Caenorhabditis elegans: one gene and its partner. The gene in region 2 interacts genetically with the main gene of each other region. Each region holds a gene or a part of one and is shown on either strand. Other genes may lie near its edges.

What was found. A genetic interaction does not mean that the proteins touch.
Region 1: of gtl-1 (region 2) and cnnm-1, changing one suppresses a phenotype caused by changing the other (phenotypic suppression), as found in Caenorhabditis elegans (one study listed by BioGRID).

Annotation. Positions count from the first base shown.
Region 1 is NC_003282.8:17,203,496-17,209,308, forward strand, and holds the start of cnnm-1 (Metal transporter cnnm-1), read right to left. Parts: upstream 3,351-5,813; 5' UTR 3,311-3,350; coding exon 3,152-3,310; intron 3,142-3,151; exon of another isoform or gene 3,121-3,141; intron 2,783-3,120; exon of another isoform or gene 2,762-2,782; intron 2,725-2,761; exon of another isoform or gene 2,704-2,724; intron 2,513-2,703; exon of another isoform or gene 2,492-2,512; intron 2,470-2,491; exon of another isoform or gene 2,449-2,469; intron 2,422-2,448; exon of another isoform or gene 2,401-2,421; intron 2,253-2,400; exon of another isoform or gene 2,232-2,252; intron 2,099-2,231; coding exon 1,998-2,098; intron 1,611-1,997; exon of another isoform or gene 1,590-1,610; intron 1,586-1,589; exon of another isoform or gene 1,565-1,585; intron 1,323-1,564; coding exon 1,043-1,322; intron 918-1,042; exon of another isoform or gene 897-917; intron 857-896; exon of another isoform or gene 836-856; intron 556-835; exon of another isoform or gene 535-555; intron 510-534; coding exon 118-509; intron 16-117; exon of another isoform or gene 1-15. UniProt on the Caenorhabditis elegans protein: Probable metal transporter. Probably acts redundantly with the other metal transport proteins cnnm-2, cnnm-3, cnnm-4 and cnnm-5 to regulate Mg(2+) homeostasis. Promotes postembryonic gonad development by regulating Mg(2+) levels, probably via AMPK signaling.
Region 2 is NC_003282.8:11,255,987-11,262,025, reverse strand, and holds the start of gtl-1 (TRPM SLOG domain-containing protein), read left to right. Parts: upstream 1-2,490; 5' UTR 2,491-2,560; coding exon 2,561-2,599; intron 2,600-2,689; coding exon 2,690-2,804; intron 2,805-3,173; coding exon 3,174-3,265; intron 3,266-3,313; coding exon 3,314-3,367; intron 3,368-3,430; coding exon 3,431-3,652; intron 3,653-3,696; coding exon 3,697-3,781; intron 3,782-3,879; coding exon 3,880-4,018; intron 4,019-4,431; coding exon 4,432-4,559; intron 4,560-4,949; coding exon 4,950-5,148; intron 5,149-5,190; coding exon 5,191-5,334; intron 5,335-5,427; coding exon 5,428-5,517; intron 5,518-5,564; coding exon 5,565-5,688; intron 5,689-5,731; coding exon 5,732-6,039. Other genes in the region: F54D1.1 (KHDC4/BBP-like KH-domain type I domain-containing protein), read right to left, coding at 1-55, 107-129; C05C12.5 (Phosphoprotein), read left to right, coding at 909-1,069, 1,234-1,455, 1,502-1,568.

The DNA of each region.
Region 1 (5,813 bases), 5.9 Mb from region 2:
ATTAAAAGACAGAAGTTTACTAAAAACTATACTAACGAATCAGTTTTAAATGCATTTAAATTTCTCACTGTTTCAAAAATTTTCTGAAAAAAAACTTTTAGAAAAAAGTTAACTAACTTGACACAAATACTCTGTGGCAAAATCTCTCCGAAAATGACAATTCCCATAGTTGAACCAATAAGTGCATAGATTCCAGTCGTCAATTCACCCATTAAAATAGAAATCGCCGAGTTTACAATGACATTTCCCAGTAAAAGTGAGCATAGCAAAAGGTTTCCTTTCTTTCGGACCGGCAAGATCTTTGCTGCACACTTTTGTTCTTTTATGGCTCCAGATTTAATGACAAGCTCCAGTTCTTGGGGTGTCAGGGACATTAAGCCCAATGTCAATCCTGAGAAAAGTGCAGATAGACAGAGAAGGAATCCAATGCATGCAATTTGAAGTGGAAGTGGAAGGAAATATTCTTTCGGTGGACGTTCTGTGGTGAGCCACGTGGAGATGTCGTCGAGCTGGAAATTTGGATTTTTTTTTATTTCAGATAGTGTGATTTGCAGAGCGCTGTAAATTATCGTTTTGAAGTTTATGTGGAGAACTTGAAACAGTAGACATTTTGAGGCGTTTTCTGTTTTCCAATTTTTGTTGTAATCGATTTTTAAACCTTGAAAGTTGATTGAAAATTTGTATGTTGTTACGTTCGGAAATCTTCAAGTGATTTGAACAATTTCCACAGTTTTAAAATAACCATTTAAGAAACTGGAAAACTAATCAAATTGCTGATTTAAAAAATTTTCGTTTCACTACAATTACATAATTAAGCAGATTTTGTAAACATTGATTTGAAAAGTTCATTTGGAAAACTGCTACTTTTTGTCAGCCTGCAAAATTTGCAAAAGTGTAACAATAGGATCCGTCTCCAAGTCCCGTATATAACGTTCACAAATTTTATGCAAAATATGAAACAGTAATAAATTATGCCAAAAATTTAGCGCGAAGTTCAAATTTCCAGTCAAAACTTATTTTCAAAACATGAACTACAACGAACCGGATAAATTTCCCCGAGCGGCGGTGATCCTGGTGCAACCTTCGGTTTCACACACATTTTATAGGCATGAACCATTTCTGGAAGAAGCTTCAAAGTCAAATGAAACGTGGCTTTATGGTTGAAGTGCACTTTGAAATGGTTCAGCGCGTCGATGACGTAGGCTGGCTCCGAGCAGTTATTCGTAAATGTCCAGATGATTTGGTGGATTTTGTCCAAATGATTTCCATAGATTACCACTTTGAACTCTTCTTCTGGAGTTACTGAACAGACGCCGTGTTTGCTCAAAAATTTTAGTTTTATAAAACCATGAAATTTCCTTAGATTTTTGGGTCCCGCCACGAAACAAAAAAATACATTGGTTTGAAAAAATTGGACCCTTTGATAAAATTTGCGGGAGAGGAGAACTTTGAATTTTTTGAGACCATTTTTACATGGTCAGAAAAGATGAAATACTCTGCAACGGTTGTTAATGTTGAAATAATTTTTTTCTAAAAATTTGACAGTACCAAACATCCTTAATTATCATGAAGAGTTGCGCATGAAATGTTCGCATACAAACTAGGAGCTTTTCAGTCAAATTTGAAATAAGAAAAAATTCAGCTCAACTCAAAATAGTTTCAAACTGTTTTCTTGATCAACGTCCGATTATTGTTTCTATTTGTGTCCCGGGTACAGTTTAACAGTTGATTATCTCAATTTGAATGGATTTAACAAACATTTGCCCAAAACAATTTAAGAAAAAAAAATTTTTGACACAGAAAAAAAATTCGAAAATAACTAGTTTTTCGTAAGATTACAGGAATTAACAAGATGTACAAATGAATAACAGAATTACTGTTCTGTACAACAACTTTCTACGCAAACAGAACAATAACCAAGCTATCTGTTTTATGATAAATTATTTTTTATTAAAAATCTTTCACGGCCACCTGGCAAGATTGTTTTAAAAACTCACTCATAACCAAACGGATCGTCAGCTGGAAGTTCGACTCTCATTCCAAAAATCGTTGGAATTTTCGAGCTCTGACTTGTGTTGTTGTTGCTCGCTGATTGGGTCTGAAAATTGAAAGTCAAGAATTGCAGAAACTCGAATAACAGTTTTTTGGCAGTCGTCAGTTTCGAAATTTTTAACCAAAAAAATCCACTGTTTCAACTAATTTTTTGAGCCAACATATAGCGTTTATTTAGTTAAAAGATTTAGGGGCCAAAATTATTGTAAAAGTCCAAAATTTTGGTAAATTACCAAAATGTTGACTGAAAATTTTGAGAAATCAAAACTTTCGGAATGATTTATCATTTTATTCGGTTATTTGAGACTCCAATGCGCAACCAATTTTTGATTTTAATTTTAAAAAATACACTGCTTCCACAATTGCTTATTAGTGAACATTAAAAAGTTGCATTGATAAAATAGCTGTAGAAAAGTTTTATTATATACAACTAAAAACAATGCATTCAACGGTAATGGAATTGCTGGACAATTAACTGTTGTTTTGTTCTAGGCTGTTGGAAACGGTAAATAATTTTTATAGCAGTTTATTTTTCGATTTCAGGAAAGAAGACACTGTGAAAAGTTTGTTTGTCTCGGAAATCCAATTTGTTCCAGACAATTTAGGATGTCGATTTTTTAAATGAAAATTTGGAATGTGAAATTTTCGGTGGCCCAAAAATCCACTGTTTCAACAATTTATATGAGCTCAAGATTAGTTAAAACAATGTTCGAAACCGTAAAATTTGGTTTTCCATTTTGATTGAATCTATTACATTTTTCAAGAAAATTTTAATTGTCTGTTACTGTGTTTACAAGACAAATATGTTAATTTTTTAAACTAAATCTCATATTTTAATTCAGACAGCGTTAGTAGGTGCATTGCTGACATGGTAGGTCCAGCACCTACCAGCCGCCTAATGGCGGTCTCATTGAGGCATGAAGGTAGGACTTATATTTTTGTTTGTGTTTTTTTCGCAAAAAACATTACTTATTAATGAATCACCCAACTTGTAACAGATTTAAAATAAATAAAAAACATTCACTGTTTCAGAAAAAATTTAAGTTCCAGTAAAAACCAAACTTTTGTTTATTGTCCTTATTCCACCGAAAAAACTCACCGGAACTGTAGAATTGTCCGCAGCAGCCGTTGTCGCCGAATCCAATATCGCCGTCACCGTGGTCACCTCATCGTCGACTCCATTCTGAGCAGCTGTCACGTTGCATTGACCTAATATGAAGAGCGAGAGAGTGAGGAGACGCAGACATGACGCAGACATTCACTGGTGACTCGTATAAGGCGGTGAGTTGGGGGATAATCTGAAAATTACGAAAATTCAAAAGATTAAGGTTTGAAGATTGAGAGAGAGAATATGAAGAGTCATTGAAACAGAATATAAAAAGTAGCCGCGAAAAAATTGGTGACCACGAAAATTTTGTACAGGGGCCCCTGTACAAAATTTTTCCTGCAGGGGGCTATGGAGTTGATGAAAATATACTAAATTTTTCACATGGCCGAGAAACACAATTTGGTAGCCGAGTTTTTCTATTTTCTCTGCCACTTCCATTAGTTACTGGGAGTTTTTGAACATTTTCAATGACCTGCGAATAGGAGAAATGATACTCTCTAAAAATATGATGGAAGTCAGGCAATTTTTTATTTTCAGTAAAAAAACTAAACTTGAAACAGCATAATTTTTTGCTCAAATTTTACGATTTTTTTTTATTTTCTTTTATTTTGAGGAAGAGGATTCGAAAGTTAAATTGAGTAATTTAAAATTTTACATTTGACATTATTTGACTTTTACATTGAAAAGCCCTCATAAAAAACGTTTATGGATATATCCGGATAACAGAAATTTGAAACATACGAAAAAATATTCAAAAAATGGAACGTATGATATAAAGGAAAAAATGCACTGTTGCATAAAAAATTATGTCTACCCAAAAATTAGATAGTTGTGAAGTTTTTCAGCAAAAAAACTAATTTGAAAAATTTTAATTTTTAACTTCAAAAACTACTGTTTCAGTCACTGTTTTTGAAGCGGAAGTCATTGAATAAATGTTAATGCTTCTCTAACTGTAATAACTGTAATATAATTTCCAAAAAAGAAACTACATGTGAAACAGAGTTTTCATTTTTTAATTTTGAAAAATAAATATTTATTTTTTAAAATACAGATTATTGTTGAATAATATTCAAACGGCTCCATATTGAAATTTTTCAATCAAAATAGTAGTGAAACTGCATATGTTTTATAACTAACTCAGTTTTGAAACAGTATTTTTATAACTTTGAAAAATTGTTTCACACAGTTTGTTTCACAAGTGGATAAATCAAAAAAAATGTTCATCGAGAAATAACATTTACCTAATTATTTGTTTCATATTCTAACGCGGAATATGATTTAAAAAATAAAAACTAAATAATGGTTTAACATAGAAATTCAATTTTCTATACACATTTTGACTTACACACTCACATAGGGTGTACTTTCTGCCGCCTCCGCCGCATGACTTATTATTAAATGATTGTAAATATGATGAATTCCGAGTTCTTTGTGCTGGTCAAACAAGGAGGGAGCCTATATATGAGGGAGATTACCTATTGACCGGTCAATTTTTGAAACTTTTTTTGAAACTATGTTGAAAAGGGAAAAAAAGTTTTATTGAACAATTTGTAAATTAAAAAAAAATTTATAGCTTCAATCAATCAAGAATGTATATAATTACACTGAAGTTATTTTTTTTTTAGCAAAAACAGTGTTTTCAGAGTATTAAAGCAACTTCAAGCCAACATTTCAATGATTTTGTACCAATATTTAACTGTTTTGACTTTGTTTACAACGTTGAAATCGACGTGTAATTTTTTTTTTATTTAGAAAATATTTTTAAAAAATGTTTAGAAATACACAAAATTGTTTTTAAAGAAAAACGTTCAAAAAATGTTCTCCCAGACCAAATTACTATTTTGACGGATCAGAAAGATGCGCCCAAATCCAAGAAGTATTAGTTATTGTAGAATTTGTGAAACAGAGAAGAAAAACATTTTTGTGTCTGCCTTGTTGTGGGAACACTACAGTTTGAAAAAAGCGTTTTTTTTTTCAAAATCAAAATTTAGAACTTTTTTCTTTCAAAAAAATGTTCAAAAAAAATCACAGTGTTTGCGTGAAGCTGAAAAAGTAAAATCAAAACAGTTTTTCTTCCAAAATAAAATAAATATTTCAAACATTTCAGCAATAACCAGTGAAGCAAATTTCCGGGGGTTACTGGTTCATAAGACACGGATTTCTTAGTGAAAATGATGTAAATATTAAAAAAAAAATTTCACAAAATTTTACTGTTTCATATTTTTTTATTTAAAAAATTAAAATATATAATTATGTAATCATTTCTTATTTTAGAATTGCATAAACTCCAAAAGAAACAAAAAATTTTAAATGTTAATAAAGTTGTAAAAAACATTTTCTAAGTTTTGAAACCATAACGAATTGTTTCCAATTTTCTTTTAGCATTATAATTTTGAAAACTCGAAAAAATGTGTGTTTTTTTGTTGAAATAATCAAAAATTGTTTCACTTCTTCTACATTTTTTTAACTTTTAAATTCAAATTGATCAATACATTGATGTTGGCACATTAAAAACGGCTCGACTGAATATTTAAGTTTTGAACTCTTTTCTTCATGTTGTCGTTGAAACAGGAAATAAGAAACTGGAAAACGCTTTGCACCGCCCGCAAATGCAATTTCAGGTTCATATTTTTCCTAATCTTTTAATTATCGA
Region 2 (6,039 bases):
ATCAATTGGTGTCTCCGATAATTGTCTCATCTCATTGATCAGCTCGTTCAGATAACTGAAATATTATAAGTTCGACTCTGAAACTTAAACTTTCTTATTAACTTACAGGCTTGCGGAAGTCGAGAGCATCGTAGGATAGAACTTTTTCAAAAGTGAATAATAACGAAGAATGAGGAAATAATGAAAATATTGACTTGGACTAGAATGAGAAGGGGAGATTAGAATAAAGAAGATCACGTGAAACGTCCAAATATGAAACACTTTTATATATTTTCCAAAGTATGAGAAGATTTAAGATTAGTTATCACAAAAGAGAGATTAAAGAAGATAAACTGAAAATAATTCAAAAAGCGAATAGAGAAATTCCTAAAATCTTGGTTTCAAGAATGTTATAGGAACCGAAAAATGTTTTAATTTATTACGCTCTCTTGGATATTAAAAATTAGAAGCAAGCCTGCTTCTTGTGATACCTGCAAAGTGAGTTCTAATTATTCAAAGTTTTGCTATTAATAAAAAAATTTGAAGCGATACTGCACATGCGAGCAGATTCATTTCATGCTTGTTGTCTAAACCTTCCACGTAGACAAAAATTTATCCGCCCGCCTGGTTTTTCGACCTAAAACATTAAAGTTGTTGTAGCAGAGTTGTAGAGTTGTAGCAGAAAATAATTTGCATGGCGAGAACAAGCATTTTGGAACAAGCAAGAAGATAAACATAATCATTTTGATAAACCAAAAAAAAATTAATGTTGCTATTATTTTTGAAATCGTGAACTGCTGATTAGAAAAATGAAAACAATAGACCAGGGGGGGGGGGTGAATTTACGTGAGTTCAAAAAACAGTTTGACTTTCCTCATTCCCAGCTTTGCTCTCATCAAAGTTCATAAACGGATCAATACCAGCAAAGGATGGCAAAATACTTTGGCGCCACAGATGCATTCAATGCAATTGTTCAAAAAGTCGACGAAACACTTATTCAAGCAGAATCCCATCTTCGTAATCTTCATGAAGATACAGTGGGAGCAAAGCCGTCTGATAGTTTGCCGGACCGCACTATCGTTCCGTCCCCGTGAGTTGTATTTGCTTTTTTTCTCAGTAATATTTAAAATAATGAGCATTGAACGAATAATAACTTTTGCTCTATTGCACTCTGCTGTACGTCAAGCGTAAGCTATTGGACGTTTTGCTATGAAAATGTTGATTCTAACTTAGTGTCTAAACCTTTTCATATAGATCTTCTCAATCGGAACGTTCATGCTCCCCGGAGCCTCGTATTGTTGCTCCTCAATTGTCTGCATACTCTGGATCATCCGCTGCGTCTTCTTCTTCCGTGAATCATATTGATGTGAAGAGCAAGTCGTATTTGGCATTGGATAAGAAGAAAGCACTGATCATGACTTCGCTCAAGTCAAAGAGAGTTATGAACGATAGTGATGTGACAAAAGTTCAGAAATTGTAGGTTTTTCTGAAATTATTCTGTTAGATCAATTTTATTTTTCAGGATCGATGACTTGTTCGGAAAACAAACTTCTTCGTCCTCATCTTCCATGTCCATCCTTCAGTTGTAGCAAATAGAGATCCTATGAACTGAATAAATAGATTCATTTTCCCGTGGTTTTTTTTTAATTAGTGAAAATCATCTTAGAAGTCACATTGACGAAATTCAACTGAAAATGTTTTAAAGAAAACAAAAAACTTCTATCTTACAAGTAGATCTTGTCTTTTTCGAATGAAGAATCAAAGTCATTCGCGAGAAAATAAGACGTTTGGAGATTTTGGAATATTTGAAGCCTGCTGAGAGATTGCAGAGAGTCAGAAAGGATAATCGCCAGTTGTCGCTAACATAATAAATAGTTAATTAGCTTCTTCAAAGTTTCGTATTTATAAAACATCATTTGTCTTTTTTGATAAAGCTAAAAAGTGTAGACATCATTTAAACCTTATGATAAAACAAAAAGACAACGCCTGACCGACAAAACGCTTAAAATCCATAAAATTGAAATTAAGTCAATATTGAAAATGTTATCTATGCAATGGATCATATGCCATTTCAGATTATTGATTTATATAATCTAATTTAACACTTTAAATGTGTAGTTTCCAGAGCCAATAGTTTTATCATCAGACATCGAAAAGTGTGTACTCTTCTCTTTCTTTTTTTTTTTTCGTATTCTTTCATTTCTGCTGGCCGCAGCTCACTTTCTATCGAATACCTCTTTTCGACTCATTATCAAAAATGATCACCGACAAAAATTTGTTTAGTCGTCTTCTGATTAAAAAGAATCCAATACGTATGCACTCTCCCTCATTCTCATTTTCTCTTATCACTTCGCTCTTTTTCACTCAATTTTTCATGTTTCAACTGTCATCTATGGCTTACTTTTTTTTGACTTTAATAGCGGGGGTAACTCACTTTTACTTTCCTGGTTACCGTTTTTCATTGATTTATTTTCTCTTAAAAATTATATTGTGAAAAGATTTTTATTCCAGAAAAACTTCTGGGAAAATCAGAAAATCTAGATCATCGATACCAAAGTTCAGAGCAAAAAGTTTTAATTGAATGGACAGAAAACGTGGAAGTATAGTTCCTGCAATTCATGTGAGGTTTTAAAATTCCATATAAATGTTGATCGGTCATAAATAATTATATTACTCATTGAGTATTAAAAAACATCACAAATGTTTTCAGAAAGCAGTTGCAGAAAGTCTTCGAGCGAACAGTGTTACTGTAGAAGAAAATGAGAGTGAAAGAGAGACAGAGACACAGACAAAAAGGAGAAGAAAGAAGCAAAGAAGCACTAGTTGTAGGTTTTTTAAAGTTTATAGTTTTTGAAACATAATTACCTTAAAAGAATTCATTAACAATTTTAATTAATTTTTAATTTTAATCCAAATGTGGAAACTCGGCAATCCGCCGCAACTTATTCAACAACATTAGCAACTTTAGCGCCAAATTTATTGTCTTGCAACTTTTAGATATAGTTAGCAACTTCTTTCCCGACTTTAGCATATTTTAAACCAAGTTTAGCCAACTTTTGCGCTTGGAATTTTTGAAGTTGCTAAAGTTGCTGGAAAGTTGCAGCGAGTTGCCCAGAAATGTGATAAAAATCATGCAATTTTATTCTGAAAAGGAATTTAAAAAAAACACCTCCAGAATAAATTTTCAATTTCAGCTGACAAAGCCCCCTTGAACTCAGCTCCAAGACATGTTCAGAAGTTTGATTGGAAGGATATGCTCCATTTGGCAGACATATCTGGAAGAAAAGTTTGAGTTTTGTCAAATGATCAAAATCTTTAAAAGTGTACTGTTCAGCGCGGAAACTCGACAACAAGCCATTCTGGACACGCAACTAGAGCTGGTTCTTTGGTAAGTGGCAGAAAGTTGATACAGTGGAACAGAAATATAAATATTGTCTATTTTTATTTTTAGAAGGGAAAAAACTGGATAGAATGTCGTCTTAAAATGAGACAATGTTCATATTTTGTCCCATCGCAACGATTTTCGGAACGATGTGGATGTGGTAAGGAAAGATCAAAGCATACAGAAGAAGTATTGGAAAGAAGTCAGAATAAAAATCATCCATTAAATCATTTAACTCTTCCTGGTATTCATGAAGTAGATACAACGGATGCAGATGCAGATGATAATGAGGTAATTATTTTGAATTAAAATTATTTTCCTGAAAGCTTGTTCAGGTAAACTTAACTCCTGGTCGTTGGTCAATTCAATCACACACAGAAATTGTACCAACTGATGCATATGGAAATATTGTATTCGAAGGTATGCTTTATCTTTCTGCCTATTCTTATGTTGTGAAAAAACTTTTTTCCAAATTATCTCAAATATTTAAAAATTGAAAAGTTAATCTAAAAATTCAGGAACTGCTCACCACGCACAATATGCTCGAATAAGTTTTGATTCGGATCCAAGAGATATTGTTCATTTAATGATGAAAGTTTGGAAACTTAAACCTCCAAAATTGATTATCACCATAAACGGCGGACTAACAAAGTTTGAGTGAGTAGTTTGAAGTTAACCTTGAAAACAAATTTTAATTTGTTTGATTATTTTCAGGAATATTAGACTCACTGGAAATATTAAACTTTCAATTTTCTCTTAAACACCATTCAAAGCAGTATATAAGAGTTGAACCTGATCTTTCGTTCTAAATTAATCTCCCTTAACACCTACTGAATGTACATAAGACTCTTATAATCTTTTCCGTTCCCAGGACATACCCCTCACCTTTTTTCTATCAATTACTTCTCTTCCAAATTCCTCACTGATACCTTTACCGTTTTTTACGTCACGAAGAATGCCACAATTCTCCGAGGTGGTTGGGGTTTGATGTGATAAAATTTGATCGAGAATAATGATATCACAGAGTGGAAGCATAAATGAAGATGATAATGATAAGATAATATTTGCAGTCTGCAACCGAAATTGGCACGAACGTTCCGAAAAGGAATCATGAAGATTGCAAAGTCAACTGATGCATGGATTATTACTTCTGGGTTGGATGAAGGAGTTGTAAAGCATTTGGATTCAGCATTACATGGTTAGAATAACTATAAAACTTCATAGGAATAATAAGAGCAAGTAGATTTAAAATGAAAAATGGGAGTACGGAACAGATCTCTAGCTTCTGGTCCAGATACTTCAAAAGTTTGGAAAAATTCAAAAAGTGTGCACACATTTTAAAAAAATTGTATAAATTTGCAAAAATCTCAGCTTTGGAATTTTGGTCTTTTGGGCTATTTTGGGTTATTCAATTGGACGTCCTCCTCGCCCACTCGATGTTCATACCGAGAGGCTCACTTTTTGGTGAATACATTTTCTATATTCAATAGAATTTTCCAGGCATTTGTTGATAGCATGATATGTGAAATTTTCAAGCATAAAACATCCTTAGAGCCTGTGACTTAAAATTATAAATTTTAAAATTTAGACCATGGAAACCATACATCAAAGAATCACGTGGTAGCTATTGGAATAGCTTCGTGGGGAATGTTGAAACAGAGAAGTCGATTTGTTGGAAAAGATTCAACAGTAACATATGCAACAAATGTGTTCAATAACACAAGATTGAAAGAACTCAATGATAATCATTCGTACTTTTTGTTTTCCGACAATGGAACCGTCAACCGGTAGATAATTCAAGTTTATTAGTAAATCACAGTATTATTCAGATATGGTGCTGAAATCATAATGCGAAAACGATTGGAAGCATATTTAGCTCAAGGCGACAAAAAGAGAAGTGCAATTCCATTAGTTTGTGTTGTACTGGAGGGAGGAGCATTCACTATCAAAATGGTTCATGATTATGTAACAACGTATGTTCTGTAAATTGTCGTGAATTATAAATTGCATTCCTCAAATTGTTTTAAAACAATCAACACGTCGGTAATAGAAGTAACATTTTTCAGTATTCCCCGTATACCCGTAATTGTTTGTGATGGAAGTGGTCGAGCAGCAGATATTCTGGCTTTTGCTCATCAAGCTGTGTCACAAAATGGGTTAGTTTTAGGTAAAAGTCGTACTTCATTGTTTCTAATATTTTTAGATTTTTATCCGACAATATCAGAAATCAGTTGGTAAACATTGTTCGAAGAATATTTGGATATGATCCGAAAACAGCTCAGAAATTAATCAAGCAGATTGTTGAATGCTCTACAAACAAGTCTTTGGTAATTTCCTGATTTGTTGAAACTTCTTCAACGTTTGTTTCAGATGACAATTTTTCGTTTGGGTGAATCATCGAGAGAAGATTTGGATCACGTAATCATGTCATGTCTTTTAAAAGGTCAAAACCTATCACCACCAGAACAACTTCAACTGGCTCTTGCTTGGAACAGAGCTGACATTGCTAGAACTGAAATCTTCGCAAATGGAACTGAATGGACTACTCAAGACTTGCACAATGCAATGATTGAAGCACTTTCCAATGATCGTATCGATTTCGTACATTTACTTCTTGAGAACGGAGTTTCTATGCAAAAGTTTTTAACTTACGGAAGGCTGGAGCATCTCTATAACAC